Lonchura striata: one gene and its partner. The protein of the gene in region 1 purifies or fractionates together with the protein of each later gene. This does not show direct contact. Links are inferred from orthologs where the notes say so. Each region holds a gene or a part of one and is shown on either strand. Other genes may lie near its edges.

Evidence for each region. The genes of interacting proteins can lie anywhere in the genome.
Region 2: the proteins of PPP2R2C (region 1) and CCT8 purify together in Homo sapiens (affinity purification with mass spectrometry; 3 studies listed by BioGRID and IntAct, with this or other methods). This does not show direct contact. The link is inferred for Lonchura striata from reciprocal best matches to the Homo sapiens genes PPP2R2C and CCT8.

Annotation. Positions count from the first base shown.
Region 1 is NC_134606.1:12,004,825-12,012,142, reverse strand, and holds the start of PPP2R2C (protein phosphatase 2, regulatory subunit B, gamma), read right to left. Parts: upstream 3,465-7,318; 5' UTR 3,334-3,464; coding exon 3,291-3,333; intron 3,130-3,290; coding exon 3,049-3,129; intron 1-3,048. Other genes in the region: MAN2B2 (epididymis-specific alpha-mannosidase), read left to right, coding at 6,550-6,681. UniProt on the Homo sapiens protein: The B regulatory subunit might modulate substrate selectivity and catalytic activity, and might also direct the localization of the catalytic enzyme to a particular subcellular compartment.
Region 2 is NC_134604.1:4,124,458-4,132,960, forward strand, and holds the start of CCT8 (T-complex protein 1 subunit theta), read right to left. Parts: upstream 3,139-8,503; 5' UTR 3,043-3,138; coding exon 2,983-3,042; intron 64-2,982; coding exon 1-63. UniProt on the Homo sapiens protein: Component of the chaperonin-containing T-complex (TRiC), a molecular chaperone complex that assists the folding of actin, tubulin and other proteins upon ATP hydrolysis.

The DNA.
Region 1 (7,318 bases):
ATATGATTTTTGACTGAATCTTTTCATTAAACATATTATCATTCATATCTAGAATAACATAATGCCAGCTTAGAATTCACAACCTAAAATATTTCGAACATGCTTTAACCAACACAGTTTGCAAGAAGTTAATGTGATTTGGAACTTAAAGCAAAGGCTCTAGATTAAGCAATCTTGTTAACAGTCCAGTACATCATTGGACATAGAGTAAAAGATGTGACTTTTCAGAAGTCCCATGTTGTTATCTGCCTAATAGTTAACATACAGCTTCTAAAGAAAATTACATCCTTAACTTCTATATTTAATTCTTGAAGCTTGTAAATGGATACACTAATATTGTTCTTCATACAACTTTTGTGAGGCTGCACTTACTGTGAGCAAAGTGCTTTGAGATTTTTAGCATGAATAAAATATATTTTGCACTTAGACATTAATTATAGAAGTAGCAATATTTGAAATAGGATTTTGTTTCAAGGCAGCAAGACTAAATCAAACATGATTATCTTGGCTTTGATTGTGATATTTCACTTACTATGCTCTATTTTCCTTGCATTTGAAATATGCAATTTTTCTTTTCTGTTATGTAAATGAATGTTTTTCATCTAACATCTATTTTTGGAAAAAAAAAATTTTCTTTCCTAGGCTAAGACAGAAATGTTGCAGAACACAGCTCTGAAGTCTAACTGACAGAGTTAGAGTACTGCAAGGTCAATGCAAGCATTCAAAAACAAAAGCAGCAAGAGATGCCCAGAACACTAACTGAACTTATTAATATGCAAATGTTTATATACACAGATATCTATCTAGATATATAAATCACACTATAATATTTAATATAGATAAACTAGTCCTTTTGTCCATCAGTTGGGTGGAAAATATAGCTAACCAATGCAGTTGCAATTAAAAGTTGTGGCCTTTCTGAAAAGTAAAAAAGAACTGGGATAAAGAGAGAAAAAAAGTCTGTGATGGAAGTCATAGGAACAATCAATTTTAAACAAAAGATTCTGTCTAGCTCTGTGTAATTTACTTTACAGGCATACTTCAGCAAAGGAAAAGGTTTGGACTTCATCCAAAAACAGTGTCAAGCAAAAGAGGTCACGTCATCTGCCACCATGGACTTCTGTTTGAGCTATTTTTCACTTCTGCAAAGTCTGCTGATTATAGTACTCTGTGTGCACTTAGATATAAGTGGCATTAATACCCAGCATGTACTCTGGAAAAATGTCATATTTATATACAGTATATTATATTTATATGCAATATCTTATATTTATATACAATATATATTGTATATATAATTTATACACAATATATATTTATATACAATATAATATATATATGTCATATTTTTATACAATATATTAACATAAACAGGGTTTACTACCTGCAGATGACTTTGATTCTACAGGTTTTGTGATCAAATGACATTGCTTCAGTTTGTTTCCTGGTCTCTGAATTTCATCTATCTCCATGGTAAGTTAAGAGAAAACATTTAAGATTCCTATTTAAGTTGGGGAATAAAATTTGGAATCCAAAAATTGGCAATATTAAAGAGAACTGAAGTTAGGGTTAGCAAAGTAATTTAAAAGAATATGCCCTGTGAAAAGAGATGACCCAATAAATCAAAGGAATAAAACACCTGTTGAGAAAAAACATTATCATCTCAAAGCAGTGCTGAAACACTGGTATTTACCCAGACAAATGAGGTTAGGAAGCATATTCTACTCATTCAAATCTTTAAATGAAAGTAAATGCCAAACTAAAGCTCATTTTCAGCATTCTGTGATGCCTAAGAAATGCTGTCACTCACTCATTACACTCCCTCACACGGATATAATTTCCACCCCCATCTATCGTCATCACATCTGGTTTGGTATGCAGTTTCACCAAAAAAAAAATCACATAGGCAAAAATAAATCACAACATCTTTTGATAAATGCTTTAGTATGCAATTGTGTGTAATTACACACACTATTAAGTGCACCTTGAAATATAGGGACACCGCTCACCATGGAATAATAGGAAGGAAAAACTTAATCCAAAACCTTGGTCAAGCTACAGCTTATTATTAGTACCCTGGGGTTTAAATAATTTCTCCAAACAGCAAAATACAAGACACAAAACTTCAAACCATAAAGGATCACGGATAATAGCTGAAGAGACACCAAACAAGTAATCTTTCTGCCTGCCCCAAGGCTTTATCTCTTCAATGTATGTTTGTGAAACAAACATTAAATATCTCAAATGAATGGGATTTCATTATCTACCTAATTCCTATATTCCAGTGTTTCCCTGTTGTCAGCCTTTCCTTAATGTTGAATCTGAAGCCAATCTACTACAGGGTTCCACCTTCCTCCGTATTGGAAAGTTTTTCAGTCTAACTCAACTTCTGATGCATTTTAAACGTTTACAAAGGGTAAATACACTCTTCTTAGAAATCCATAACCCCAGCAGACCAAAAACATCAAGATGAGGTCTTAGTTCCACTTAACTCATTGACAACAGACACTGGAAGATGCTCATGGGCACAGCACACTACACATCTGGCATCCTGGAGGACACAGGTTCACACCTAAATTCAGATATTCTGCTTGTTCAAAATCATACACAGTGTGGTATGGTTGGTATGAGAGGCTTTCCTGTCCTGACACCCGAAGACAGTTCCTCTTCTGATCACAGAACATTAATAAATAAAACTTTCCAGGTGACTTCTTTCTTCAAAGTTAAAAGTGAAAAAAGGCCAGAAAACTTTTCAGTCCACTTTGCACCAACACCCACTGACACCAAGGTCAGAAGGTCTCATGCCATCTAAGCTGCTACACGTAAAAAAAACTTCCCCCCCGCCCGCCCCCGCAAAACAAAACGAGCCAAGGCACTTTACAAGGCCTGGAACATGCAAAGCACCGGCAGATACCCCTTTGCCGGCCCACCTCCACACCTGCCCTCGGGCACACCGCTGGGGCGGCTGCCAGCAGCGAGCCCCGCTTCCCCCCGCGGCCGGCCGGGCCAGCGGGCAGGGGACGCGCCCGCTCAGCATCCCGCACTCACCTTCGGAGACCTCGAGCTCGGCCGCTCCATTGAGCTGGCAGAGGCACCAGTCAGCCGCGCTCTGGCCGGGGGAGCCGCCGGCTGGGCAGGAGGAAAGGCACAGTCAGTCGGGCACAGAGCCAGCGGGGCACAGGGCTGAGGAAGGGACAGGGAAAGTGGCGGCGAGGGGGAGAAAAGAGAGCGGGGAGGAGAGATGGAGAGGGCTGAGCAGGGAGCGGAGGATGAGAGGGGACAGCGGGTACCGGGGGAAGGAGCGCGTTTCCAGATACCCTGTTTGTGGGACATGGGTGTCGCCCTCCGGAATGCGCCCGCTGCTCTGAACTGTTCTTTGCTTTGCTCCCAGCGCCCGCGGCTCGGGGCGCCTCCTCCTCCTCCCGGCGGAGCGGGCGCAGGCAGCCTCCGCTGCCTCGGGGTGCTCGGGGAGCCGGGGGAGGGAGGCCGGGGAGGAGGCAAGGCTCCGCCCGGAGCTCCCGGCGGAGGCGGCGCAGCCTCGCCCGGGCCGGCCGCGCCCGGCAGCGCCGGCCCCGAGGCGCGGGAGAGCCGCGGGGCCGCGGAGCGAGCCGAGCCCGGCCGCGGCGGCTTCGGCGGGGTGCGGTGCCGCAGCCCGGCCTTGCCCCGGCCAGGACAGCCCTCCCTGCTGCCCGTCCCGTTCCGTGTGCGCTCCCCGTCAGGTGCCGCCCGTGGCTGCGGTGCGGGCAGCCTGGCGAGCATGGGCGCGCATCCCGGCTGCCCCCAAGCCTGGACGCGCATCCCTGGCGGGGGACACCACACAGCAGGCACCCACTGCCAGTGGCACCCACTGCCAGTGGCACCCACTGCCAGTGGCACCCACTGCCGGTGGCCCTAGTGCCGCTCAGCCTCGCCACAGCTACGTTCGCCCCATAACATTGCCCTCAGTTCTCTTACCTAGGCCACTTGGGCTATCACTGATCAAGGCCACAAATGCCACATGAACAGTTGGGTTATATATGTACTGCAAGGCTGGAGAGTGGTTTTCCTCTGGTCCACGAGCCCCTGTGAATACACAAACTGTCTTTACAGCATCCCTGAGACGTTGGTAAAGAAAGCAAACCTGCTACCAAGTAAGTCTAAAGGGCTCTGTGCAGTGACCTTTGCCTTCAGTAGGAAATGGTTTGGGAAATGGAAAATTATAAAACACTGAAACAGTCAGCTAGAGCAAATATATGTTAATAAACGCCTTTATTCTTAGAGACTTCCACCCCAAAAACATGTCAGGAGAGAAATATAAAGGTACACATTAATTGCTCTGTTCACCAGGTGACTTTCTTGATACCTAATTTAAGACAATTGTGACTCTTAGCTTGTAGTTGGCAGCATCCTGCCCACGGCTTCTGTCTTATCAAGGTAACAGTGTCAGAGGCCCACGTATGGCACAGTTTGTGTCAAAAAGAGCAGCCACACTTCATATAGGCTAATGAGAAAAGCTTAAGAAAGAAGAGAGGAAGACTATAATGAAGCCATACTATGAGATTAGGAGCCAACAAGAGGATAAAGTATCGACATAGGCGGCTATCATGGCATGACTGCACTGGCTCCTCCATCTATCTTTTTGCTGTTTGTGAAGCAGTATGTAAGTGGCAGGGAAGAATTGTTTCCTGACATACCTTTCCACCTGACATACCATTCATCCCTTCTTGCAGCAAGTAGAACCCCTCCTGATACCTTCAGGTGTATGAACTGCGGGCAGTTTGATTCACATTCTTCTCCACTCTATCCAAGACAGAGGTGCAGTGTGGCCGTTGTGAAAGGATAAGGAGGACAATTACAGTTTCTGAAGGAAATAGATTTTAAATTGGAGTAACATTCAGCAAATATTCCCAGGTACTTTTAGCAACAAAGCAAAACACTGATATTTAAGCTTTCCTGGGAACTTCACCTAAATTACAAAGATAGTATTGCCTTCTGAGGTAAAAACACCAGTGTGTTTAGACAGTGTGTGTATATATATCTTCAAGCCATATGTTTGCTGGATGTGCACTAGCATTCTCGGAATTAACATGTTTATGCTGATGATTTGAGGGGGAAAAATGTATCATAGAGCTGTATTAAAGTAAAGCTTCATCCAGCTGCTTATAGTGGTACTAACTTCCCCTAAAAGTTACCTATAGACCTTGATTATTCTTCATGACAATGTATTATTATCAAAAATAAAACTGATATTAGCATTCTAATGTTAGCCTCTTATTTTCACAGAAAACTCTAAAACTCTTTGAAATAGCAAACAAAGGCCCTGTTCTGGGAGAATATATTCATATTAGATTTAAGTTTTATGGAATGTGGCCATTTTATTGCGTTCAACTCATTACTACTGATTTACATAAAGCGTTTTCCTTTCCATCTTCAATTATTTACAACAATTATTTAAAACTTTATATGTTAAAAAAAAACCCACCAAGTTTGGTATGTAAAGCAGCACATGTTTTTTTCTTTCTAGAATGACGAGATCAATACAAATTATGTGATCCTTTTTTACAGGTGTCTTGAGTATTGAGGTGGTTTAATTTGCACTAGGAGCCAGCTAGTCTGGCAGATGGACACTACTAAGCTATTTGTGATTGTTTCCTTCAATCACAGAGTGATGACTGGTTTAACTAGGTTTGGGATGTAATGCGTAATGCTAAATCCATACCAAACTTGAAGGTGGGAGCAGTTACCCTTCTCCATGTGATGTTCTATACTTTTGCACTGTTGGAAATGAGCGAGGACTTTGATATGACATTTTGTGTCATTTCAGAATTGCATTGTTGTTAAAAGTATGTGATTTAGTCAAACTAAAACTTAAGGAAAGTAGTTGATCTATACTATAGTGTATGTTTTTTAAAGAATCCAAGTTTAAAGAAATATAGTTTTATGTGTTTTGGCTTTCTATGTCACAATGATTTAATAGGCAGAAAGTGGTGCATCTGCTTACAAAAAAACTTCTGAGGAGACTGGACTACACTATGCGACAATATTTTTTGTTTGGGTTTGGATTTTTTCCTTTTTCACTAGGACTTTATGCAGTTCAAACAGAAGTGTTTACCTTTCCAGTCCTCAGCACAGGGTCCACCTGTTCCTAGCAGGAATCAGAAGGTCAACCACATAAAATTTAACCCTTCTTCAATTCCAAAACTTCAGAGATGCAGACAATAAGCCGTAATGAAGTACCATACCACGAAACAAAATTTCCTTTCAATTCAAAGGAAAACAAGAAATATTTATAGATGTCCAAGATGCAGAACTCAGCTTCTCCCCGAGCAGCCCAGCGTTACCCAAATTCCAGATACCCGAACTGGGTCCGGAATTCCCGCACAGGGGCGGCGCTTTCCGCCCGCCGCGCACCCGCAGCGCCGCTCGGGGCGCGGGCGGAGTCACCCCTCGGGCCTCGGAGCCTCCCGCTCCCCAGGAGACTCCTGCCCCTTCTTTTATTTATTTATTTGATTCCGGGCGGGGAGGCGGTGCCGCGGGACGCGGAAGTGCGGCGGGAGCGCCGCAGCGGCCATGGCTGCCCCGCGCATCCCGCTGCTCCCGCTGCTCCCGCTGCTCGCCCTCCTGCCGCGGGCCGGCGGCGAGCTGCGCGCCTTCGTGGTGGCCCACAGCCACATGGACGTCGGCTGGATTTACACGGTGCAGGTCGGCGGGGGCGCCGCACGGGCGGGGGAGGATGGCTGCGGCCGGGGCTGAGCCCGCAGGCAGGGCTGCCCGGAGCCGTGTAACGGGGCCGGGCGCGCCGCCGGCTCCCGGGGCGCGCCGCCGGCTCCCGGGGCGCGCCGCCGGCTCCCGGGGCGCGCCGCCGGCTCCCGGGGCGCGCCGCCGGCTCCCGGGGCGCGCCGCCGGCTCCCGGGGCGCGCCGCCGGCTCCCGGGGCGCGCCGCCGGCTCCCGGGGCGCGCCGCCGGCGGAGGCAGGCGCAGATCTTGGCCCGTGCAGCTCCTGCGCCGTGTCCGGCCTGGTGTGTCCGCCATCCCCCGGTGTTTCGGGATCCTCCGTCGGAGGAGGCGTGCTCAGCCTAGGAGCCCTGCCCTTGAGCTGTGGGTTTGTGTGTGCCTGTGTTCAGCAGGATACTCCTGATGGGGTTTTTTCTAAGGAAAGGCTTAATTCTGTGTGATGGAGCTTTGCTTATGTGGCAGATTTTCATGGTCTTTATGTTTATCTTGTTACAAAGCCAAAACCCCAGGGAAACCTTCTGTCATTTCTTAAGAGAGGAGAGCAAGATCCCAGGTCCTCGATGGCTGGGGTGAGGTTGGAGCCTAGCCTCTGAAGTACAGTAGC
Region 2 (8,503 bases), on another chromosome or scaffold:
TTGAGCAAGTTCTTTGCATGCCTGAATGTTTCTGTAGACAGCTTCTTCTAGTCCTGAATAATGCTAAAGAGAAAAATGACTGATCAGAATTAGGCTAACAAAAAAAAGTGATGAACTAGTAAATTCTCATTAATGAACTAGTAAAATCTCATTAAATCAGTCTCAATTCATTGAGTCCCTCAAAGTCTTTTATTAATATACATTTGGTATTTCACATACCGTGTAAATAGACACCAAACCTTACCCAAGACAGTGAGAATTAGTACATACACCCTCTCAACTAGGTAGCTCAGTAGACACAAAAAGCTTCTAAAGAGAAAATCTGAACAGTGACCTGACTTGCAATACAATTTGCATCCCCTCAGTCTTCCAAAATGTTTTGTGACATGCCAAAAAGAAGCAGAAAATAACCAAGATCCAGTTGGAGAGGGGCAAGGGTTTCTGTACATGTTTCTTTACTTGCACCTTTGTATGCTACAAAAATAATTTAACTCATTCTCTGTTCAAAACACAGAACTGAGTTAACTGAATCTGAAAATTCAGAAGCAGAATGATTAAGTAAAATATCTGTGCTTGAGAAGGCGATCAGCCTGGCTTCAGTTTGGAAACCTTAAGACAAGATGGGGCCACTAGAAAGGACCTTAAGAAAGAAAAAGCAGGATAAAAAGCACTATGCAGTCCATAAGAGAAGGGAGAAAAGTAACAATATTTACTCTCTAAATTCATGCCAAACATCTTAGATTGCCCCCTTGTTTTGCAGAAGACAACTCTTGCTGTTCTGGCTTTGAATTTTCTAACACTGAGGCCACGCTGCTTCCCTGTTCTGCCCCTGCCCTGAACGTATGCCATTATTTGGCTCCAAGAAGGATTCTAAAACGAAACACAAAGGGCTTTCAGAACTGCTACCTTTGCTCTTCTTTCTATTAAGTAGCAACAAATGGAAAAGTTTCCTATGTTCCCTCTTTCTTGGAGAGAGGGACTTTGGACAAGAACCTGGAGAGACAAGACAATGGGCAATGGCTTCACATTGAATGAGAGTAGGTTTCTGTTAAGTGTTAGGAATCCCTGAAATTCTTCCCTGTAAGAGTGGTGAGGCTCTGGCACAGATTTCCCAGAAAAAATGCAGATACACAACCCTGGAAGTGTCCAAGACCAGGCTGGATGGGGCTTGGAACTAAATGATCTTTAAGGTCCCTTCCAAGCCAAAGTCTTCTGCTGATTCTATAAATAATAAAAAATAAATAAAACCCACACCTGCTTGCTTTCTGCCCACTTTTCAAAGAAAGCTTTTCCTTTATTAAGATACAATTCTTCACTTCTACCAAAATCTTCATTATGCTAACATCAAACACAACAAAACCGGATTTATTGGTAAGGAAATCTATAGAAAACATTGTTCTGCATCGCTGCCAAAGGTATCAGGAAAAATCAAGCAGAACGACCCGGATACTTCTGAACTGCTTCAATTACAGGGCCCGGCTGACAGTTGCTGCCCAGCCCCTGTGAGAGCTCTTGTGATGCACAGTAATAACTCCACAATCAAGGGTTGTAAAGTAGATAGGTATTTATTCAGCGCTGCACGCAGGGGGGCAAAATCTTCCCAAATCCTGTGTACCCCAGCTTCCCCAATCCCCTTATTTATACACAAAATCCATGCATATTCTATATCACCTATACATATCCAGAAACTAACCCCACCTATTCTCTGCATTATATGGAAATTAGCTGTGACTGCGTAGTTCGTTCTTTTATTAAGTCAATGGTCTCAAAAATGAGCCTGGGGTCCGGTGAGATGAAGCTTCCATAGTCTTCCTCACTATGGAACTTTCCAACTCAGATGCACAGCCGCCCTTTTGCTTCCCATCTTTAGCAAGCTCAACAATTTCCATCAGAGGCCCCCCTTCTTTTTGCATACGTTTAATAATGTTATGTGTAGTAAATATAATTCGCACCATTCCTTGTATGAAATATGTAATATTAGATACTTGTTAGATTATGCCCGTTTGTATTAGTTCCCCCCCACCTTTGCAGGCGAGACTGGGTGTATATTGGAAACTGATTTACAAGTAAAAGGATGTGGCTCGACCAGGAGATGAGCCATGTCCAGACTCCATGGGACTGCAGGTGTTTGTTGATCATCAGGTGCTGATCATCGCATAAACGGCCCAAGATGGATATCATGGAAAACCTCAGACAGATCCAGGTGAATGCAGCCTTCCCGTAAAATCTCATCGGGAATTCACCTACTCCAGACACTGAATTATTCCTCCTCATCACCAAAAAAGAAAATCTCATTAACCTATAGACTCTGAATAGAAGAAAAGACTGATTGCTGAAATCCTGGCCTCAAGCGGAATTTTCCCTATAAAACCCGCCTGTGCCAGGATGGAGGTGTGTGGGCACAGGGGAAAACCTCTGCTGAGGCTGACTCCTTGTTGCACACCCAGCGCTGACCCCGGGCTCGGCTCTGATCTTTCCTTGTGGCTGCCTAGATAGAATTTAACCGCTAATAAAATTATTTTTATTTTTAATCTGGCTGAATAAATTCTCATTTATACCAATCTGCAACAGAATCGACCTAACATACACTATATGTTCACTATATGTGATATGTTCACATTGCCTAAATCATTCTAAACTCCCTATTAAATCTCGCGTTTCACTGGGAACAACGCGGGCCCTGTCGCATCCCCGGAGGCGGCGGGATGAAGCGGCAGGGCCCGGCCCAAGGGCAGGGCGGGGAGCGGGATCCCGGCCCCGCAGAGGTTTCTGGAAGGCCGCGTGTGCCGGGCGGTCCCCGCGGGGGCCACAGAGCGGCCCCGGGCCGGGCACTGCGCGAACCCCCGGGCCCCCGCCCCGCGGGACACGTGCTGCCGCCAGGCCCCGCCGGCCTTCCGGGCCTTTCGCCGCACCGCTACCCTGAGACTCCTCCCGCACCCCCCTCCCACTTATACCCGCGCACCCACCCAACGCCGGCCTCACCTTCGCCCCCTCCTTGAGCATCTGGGCGAAGCCCGGGGCCTTGGGGACGTGCAGCGCCATCTCCGCTCGGTGCGGGGCTGCGGCGGCGGGAGCGCGCGGGGCACGGCGGGAGCTGCGCGGGCGCGGGGCGGGAGCGCGCGGGGCGGGAGCGCGCGGGGCACGGCGGGAGCTGCGCAGGCGCGGGGCGGGAGCGCGCGGGGCACGGCGGGAGCTGCGCAGGCGCGGGGGACTGCGCATGCGCGGGGCGGCCGCGCCGGGTTCGCGCCGCCCCTCAGGGCGGGCGGCGCCGGGCTCGAGCCTTCGCTCCCTCTCTCTTTCCGTGTTCCCGGCGCTTCCTTTTCCAGGAAAAGCGCCGGTTTTTTCATGGCCACCGATGATAAACGTCATAAGCTGAGCAGGCTCTAGGCGAGCGTTTCACTTTGTTGGAAAATGCGTATTTTATGATTGGCTTTTCGCAAATGTTACAATGAGTATTATGTGTGTAGTGTTAGAAAGTTATGCTGTATTAATTCTCTTAAGTACTGTGTTAAATACGGTTTTTAGGTTACAACATAATGTTAAAACAGAAATTCTGCGATATAAGATTTGTCACAAGCTCAAGCGAGAAGATGAGATGATCAAGAAACTCTTCACACAGAGATGTCAGCGAAGGGGGCCCATAAAAAGTTACAGCCTCCTTATCAGGAAAGACAAACATTCTTCCACCTTCTCTCTGTCTTTTTGGAACCACCAAGATTAAAGAGAAGAAGCTGACAAAAAACAGAAAAGTTCTTAATTTGCAAGGAATTTATACATCATGTATGAGATAGATGAATAAGCAACAGGCTATTGCTTTTAAGGTTATTCCTTTGTTCACAAGGGATGCTTTTCGTGACTTAGTGTCCAAGAGCATCCAGACTGCCGTAATTCTTTGCTTTTTATTGTCTTGTAATTGTCCTAACTCTAAATTTCATTACTCTAATTGTATTGCTATTTTTATAACCTTTTTATTATTATTAAGCTTTTAAATTTTTAAAAAACCAAGTGACTGGCGTTTTTCACAACTTAATACGTAAGGATCACAGGTTGAGATAAGAACAATTTACTGAAAACACCAATGAGTTTAGAAAGCAAGCACTAACAGCAACAATGCTTCTGACTGAGGAAATCAGCAACCCACACAGAAACCCCCCAATAGCAGACAATACCTCCCTCCACAGCACTTACTCGACTGGACTTCAGTGATCCTTGTGGGTCCCTCCCAGCTCAGGATAGTCTACAATGCTATGATTTCTGAGCTGCCCTCTTGGCACAGTGCTTTTATCAAAGCTTGTGTTGCCTGCATTTTTTAAAGCCAGAATACCACTAAAACCATAATATATATGTATGCTTGTGACTATGAATATAGACAATATCTATGTATGAAGCTGTATTGAATTAACACTAAAACATCTCTTTGTGTTACAGCCAGGATTTCTTTGGGACTCACTGTCTAATCACAACTTTGACTTGGTCTTGATCTTTTTTTAGCTATGCATCCATTTATTTTCTGCATAGACATTGACATGCTAAAGGACTATGCAAAGGTCAGAGGGTTGGCTATTGGCCGTTAGCTGCACTTTCACCACCCAAAATCTATAATTGTGCACATGGAAATCCCCGGCTTATCTGTAGGAACTTGTTTCTCAAATTCTAGGAGGGTAAAATTTTAACAAGATCTTGGGAAGTTCATAAGGAGGGCAGAATGTTAATTTTTGTTTGTTTATTCAGCTCTGGGAACCTGAGCAATGGAACAGAAGGGTTTGAAGACATCTGCTGAAGTGTGAGTAGGACAATTGTGTTTCACCAATAATACTGGCCAGTGAAAATGTGAGTGGCACCTTGAGGGAAGGCTAAGGGCCATGCTCAGTTTGCAGAGAATCATGCTTAAACCTGAAACAGAAAATTGTGAACCACATAGTGCTGAACATTCAGAATAATTCAGAATAGTAACAGTAGCAGCAGTTACTTTAGCTTTCCCCCAGATTACACTTAAGTCACTTTTAAGATGATGGGAAGGAACAGACTAATCAACTAGAGTATGTCCAATCAGCTAAGTACTACTTAGGTCATTGCTCTACAGGTCCTGGGTTAAACACTACCCTTATCCTGGGCTTCTCTCACTTGTGCAGAGGATTGTAAGCTAAACAGGAAAGCAAGATTTTCTTACCATTTGGAATTCTTACCTCAGTGTATGCTCTCTCTGCTATAGCTAATCCAGTTAGCTTGAGTCACAGGAAAGGATTTCTGGGCACTTTAGAGGAGTATTGCCTTAGCATAGAAATGTCCAAAAGACTTTTAAATGAGGCAGAGGGACATGGTTCAGTGGTGGGTGTGGCACTGCTGGGGATCAGTTGGACACAATGGTATTTGAAACCTAAACAATTCTGTAGTTCTACCTGCACAAATGACAAGAATTCAGAACTTCCACAGAACAAACAAATTGGAAAGGATGATAGTCTGAGAAAGGAATCACTGCTGTTTATATTGAGTTTGTATTGCAGGTACAATCAAGACATGTGTTGTGACACTGGTATGGTACTCAACAAAATACAATCCAAGAGCCTTTATTTCATGGGAGATGGTAAAATTGTTGAGATCATTCCTGTTTTGCTGCCATAAGAAAAAATCTTAGTTGGGAAAAAATGACATGTCCTCTAGATGGTGAGTTCTGTTTTGCTTGAGGAAATGAAATACAGCATCAGATAAGGGCTAGTGAAATACTTTTCCTAAGTTTTCAGCTTGGTCATATGGGAACTCTTATCCAGTAGAGTGCACAGAAGCCTGTAAATACCTGGAAATATATGCCTACTGCTACTGAAGGTTCAGCTGTTCATGTCGTGTGGGAAGGACTTACCAGGACCTATGTGTTGATGGAAACTTGGAGAACACCAAACTGAGGAGTGAGGGAAATAGGAGTTTTAAGTTGTAATTGGAAAATATAGGAAACAGCAGAAGAGAGGGGCAAACTTGGCATTGAATAAATGAAGACTTCTGAAGAAATAATACCCAAACAAAATAATGAAGAGTAGAATAAATAACATCTATCTGCAGCTTCTGGAAACAAGCTGCTACTACACCCAATTTGCATTTCTTTCAACTCTGAAAACACTAATCAAAAAAAAAAGGTAGCTCAAAAGGCAGGATTCTGAGCTCAAGACCACAATTTATGCTGTCTAGTGTCTGAGCCACTGACATCCGTGATCTTCTTTCTTCATTTTGTCATATTGTGACTTTGATGCCCAATTTGGAATTTTCTAAGGCTGGTCAAAACCAGTACTACATCTTCAGGATAGAGACAGAGGTTTTTCCAATGTTTAGTACTTTGTTTATCTGCCTAAATAATATTAAAGGCCTTCCCCAAGTAACTAAAAATTTTGTTTCTCATATTGTCCTCATTATGATTTGATTGACATGATTGGCTATGGGTCTCAACTCCACCTAGTTAGTCAAACTGGTATCTCTTAAGCCAAATTATCTGTGCAGCTTATAGACCCACTATAGCTGTCACACACACTGCCTAAAAAAACCTGTTATGTTGAAGACTGTACTATTTATTTTTAAAAATAAAGTGATGTATATATATATATATATATATAATCATTACAGACAGTTAACCCAAGGTATCATTTAAGTAGTGCAATACAGTTTACATATAAGGAATGAGCAGACAACATTTTCTAATATACCTTCAAAATAGGTGAATGTACCAGTGTTGTAATAAGTACAACAACAAAAAAGGTGATATCCTGCTGTTAAGCCCCAAGCTCACTGATATTAGCTAAAGGATGTCACCAGACATTGAAGTTCCAAGCTGAAGGTGACATGGTGGTGTCAGTCAAATGTTGGACTCAATGATCTTGGAGGTCAACCATATTGATTCCATGACTCAGTAGAATCAGGCAGCTTTCGTTTCAAACCCTGTACTGAGGTTAAGGTTCTTGAAACAGTAATCTAGCCATAAACAAATCTCTGCCTTTTTTCTTTTGAAGGACAATTGTCCAAACTCGTTTTTATCATCAGTATTGCTTGTCTTAGTCACTCTGCAGGCTAGGTGTTCATTGCTTATCAAAAATAGATTTTATCCATAATGTATTTAAGCATCCTTTTTCCTTTTTTCTTTTTTTTTTTTTTTAACACAGTACAGTAAAGTGACTGTTTAAATGTTTATTATGCGTCTTTATGGCCCAGGTTCTTAGTTCTGTTGACATGGGCATCAAGGAGAAGACTGAGGAGAGACCTCATCACAGTTTACAACTTCATCAAATCAAGGGGAAGTGGAGAGGCAGCACCTATCTCTTGATTTTGGTGATTGGTGAGATGACCTGAGGGAACAGCATGAAGCTGTGACAGGGAGGGTTTAGGCTGGATATTAGAAAGGTGTCTTTTCCCTGAAGTTGTGCCTCCATTATTCTAATTCTTTACAATACAGTGTAACCAGCAATTTGTCTTCAGTGTTGAATTTCTATTACTGCTGTACAAAAGAAAATGCTCTGTTCTGATGAGATTTACAAAGGATTATGAATTTGAGATCTAATAATTGTTATTACATACTAGAATCACACTCCAAGCTGAAACAAGCTGAAACAATCACACTCCAAGCTGAAAAAGTGCCATGTACAAGATTTTTACTGTTAAAATGTTTAATGATTTTACCCGCTGATGATGTAAGTTAAGTTACTAATATCAGTGTGGCTTATTCAGTTAATCTATTGTCAGATTTAGGAGTTATAATAAACTATCCCAGACCATCAATAGGGTGAAAATAAGGGAGATCTTAGAACAAGTGGGATTACCAGTTGTATGACACCATTGTATGATGTATGGTTCCAAAAGGTTAAAAATGTTCTGCAGAATTCTCAGTGGTCTAAAGAATAGATTATTTTCAGTTGGGCATGTATCTCTACTTGCCTGTGTTAGAGGATTCCAGACACATGCTTTAGATGTTTCTCCCTGAATAGAATAAAACAAGGAGTCTTTACACAGCATCTAACAGTCTCACAGAAACCTGCTGCTTTAACTTTTTGTGTCTATTTCTTGGTTTAAGGAAGCTTTCATAGGATTATGGTGAAATTTGTGAGTGGTGGTGTGAAGAGGAAGAGCAAAACCTTCTAATATGTGGGTATGCAGAACTTTAAAGAAAGGGAGTTCATCAGCAAGAAATTAGACAATATTTCTTAATTTTCACTTTTTTTGTAATCATTAATGGCAAATTATGGCTTGTAAAAATTTTGCAGAAATAAAAATATTTGAAATTGTTTTCTTATACTTGTTTTTTGAATTTTTTAAACGTCAAAAACAGTCTGCAGTCTGTCATGTCTGTTTGTCACAATTTTTGTAACTTTTGAAAGTATTACTGAAGGAAGTAATCAGTTGAAGGAAGTATCAGTTTCAGTGCTAAATCAGTAGTGAGGGTTCAAGTATTGCCAGAATACCAGCTGCTGATTGGGATTTTGTCACATTCTTCTGCATGCTGATTTCTTCCTCAGATCAGCAAAGCTTC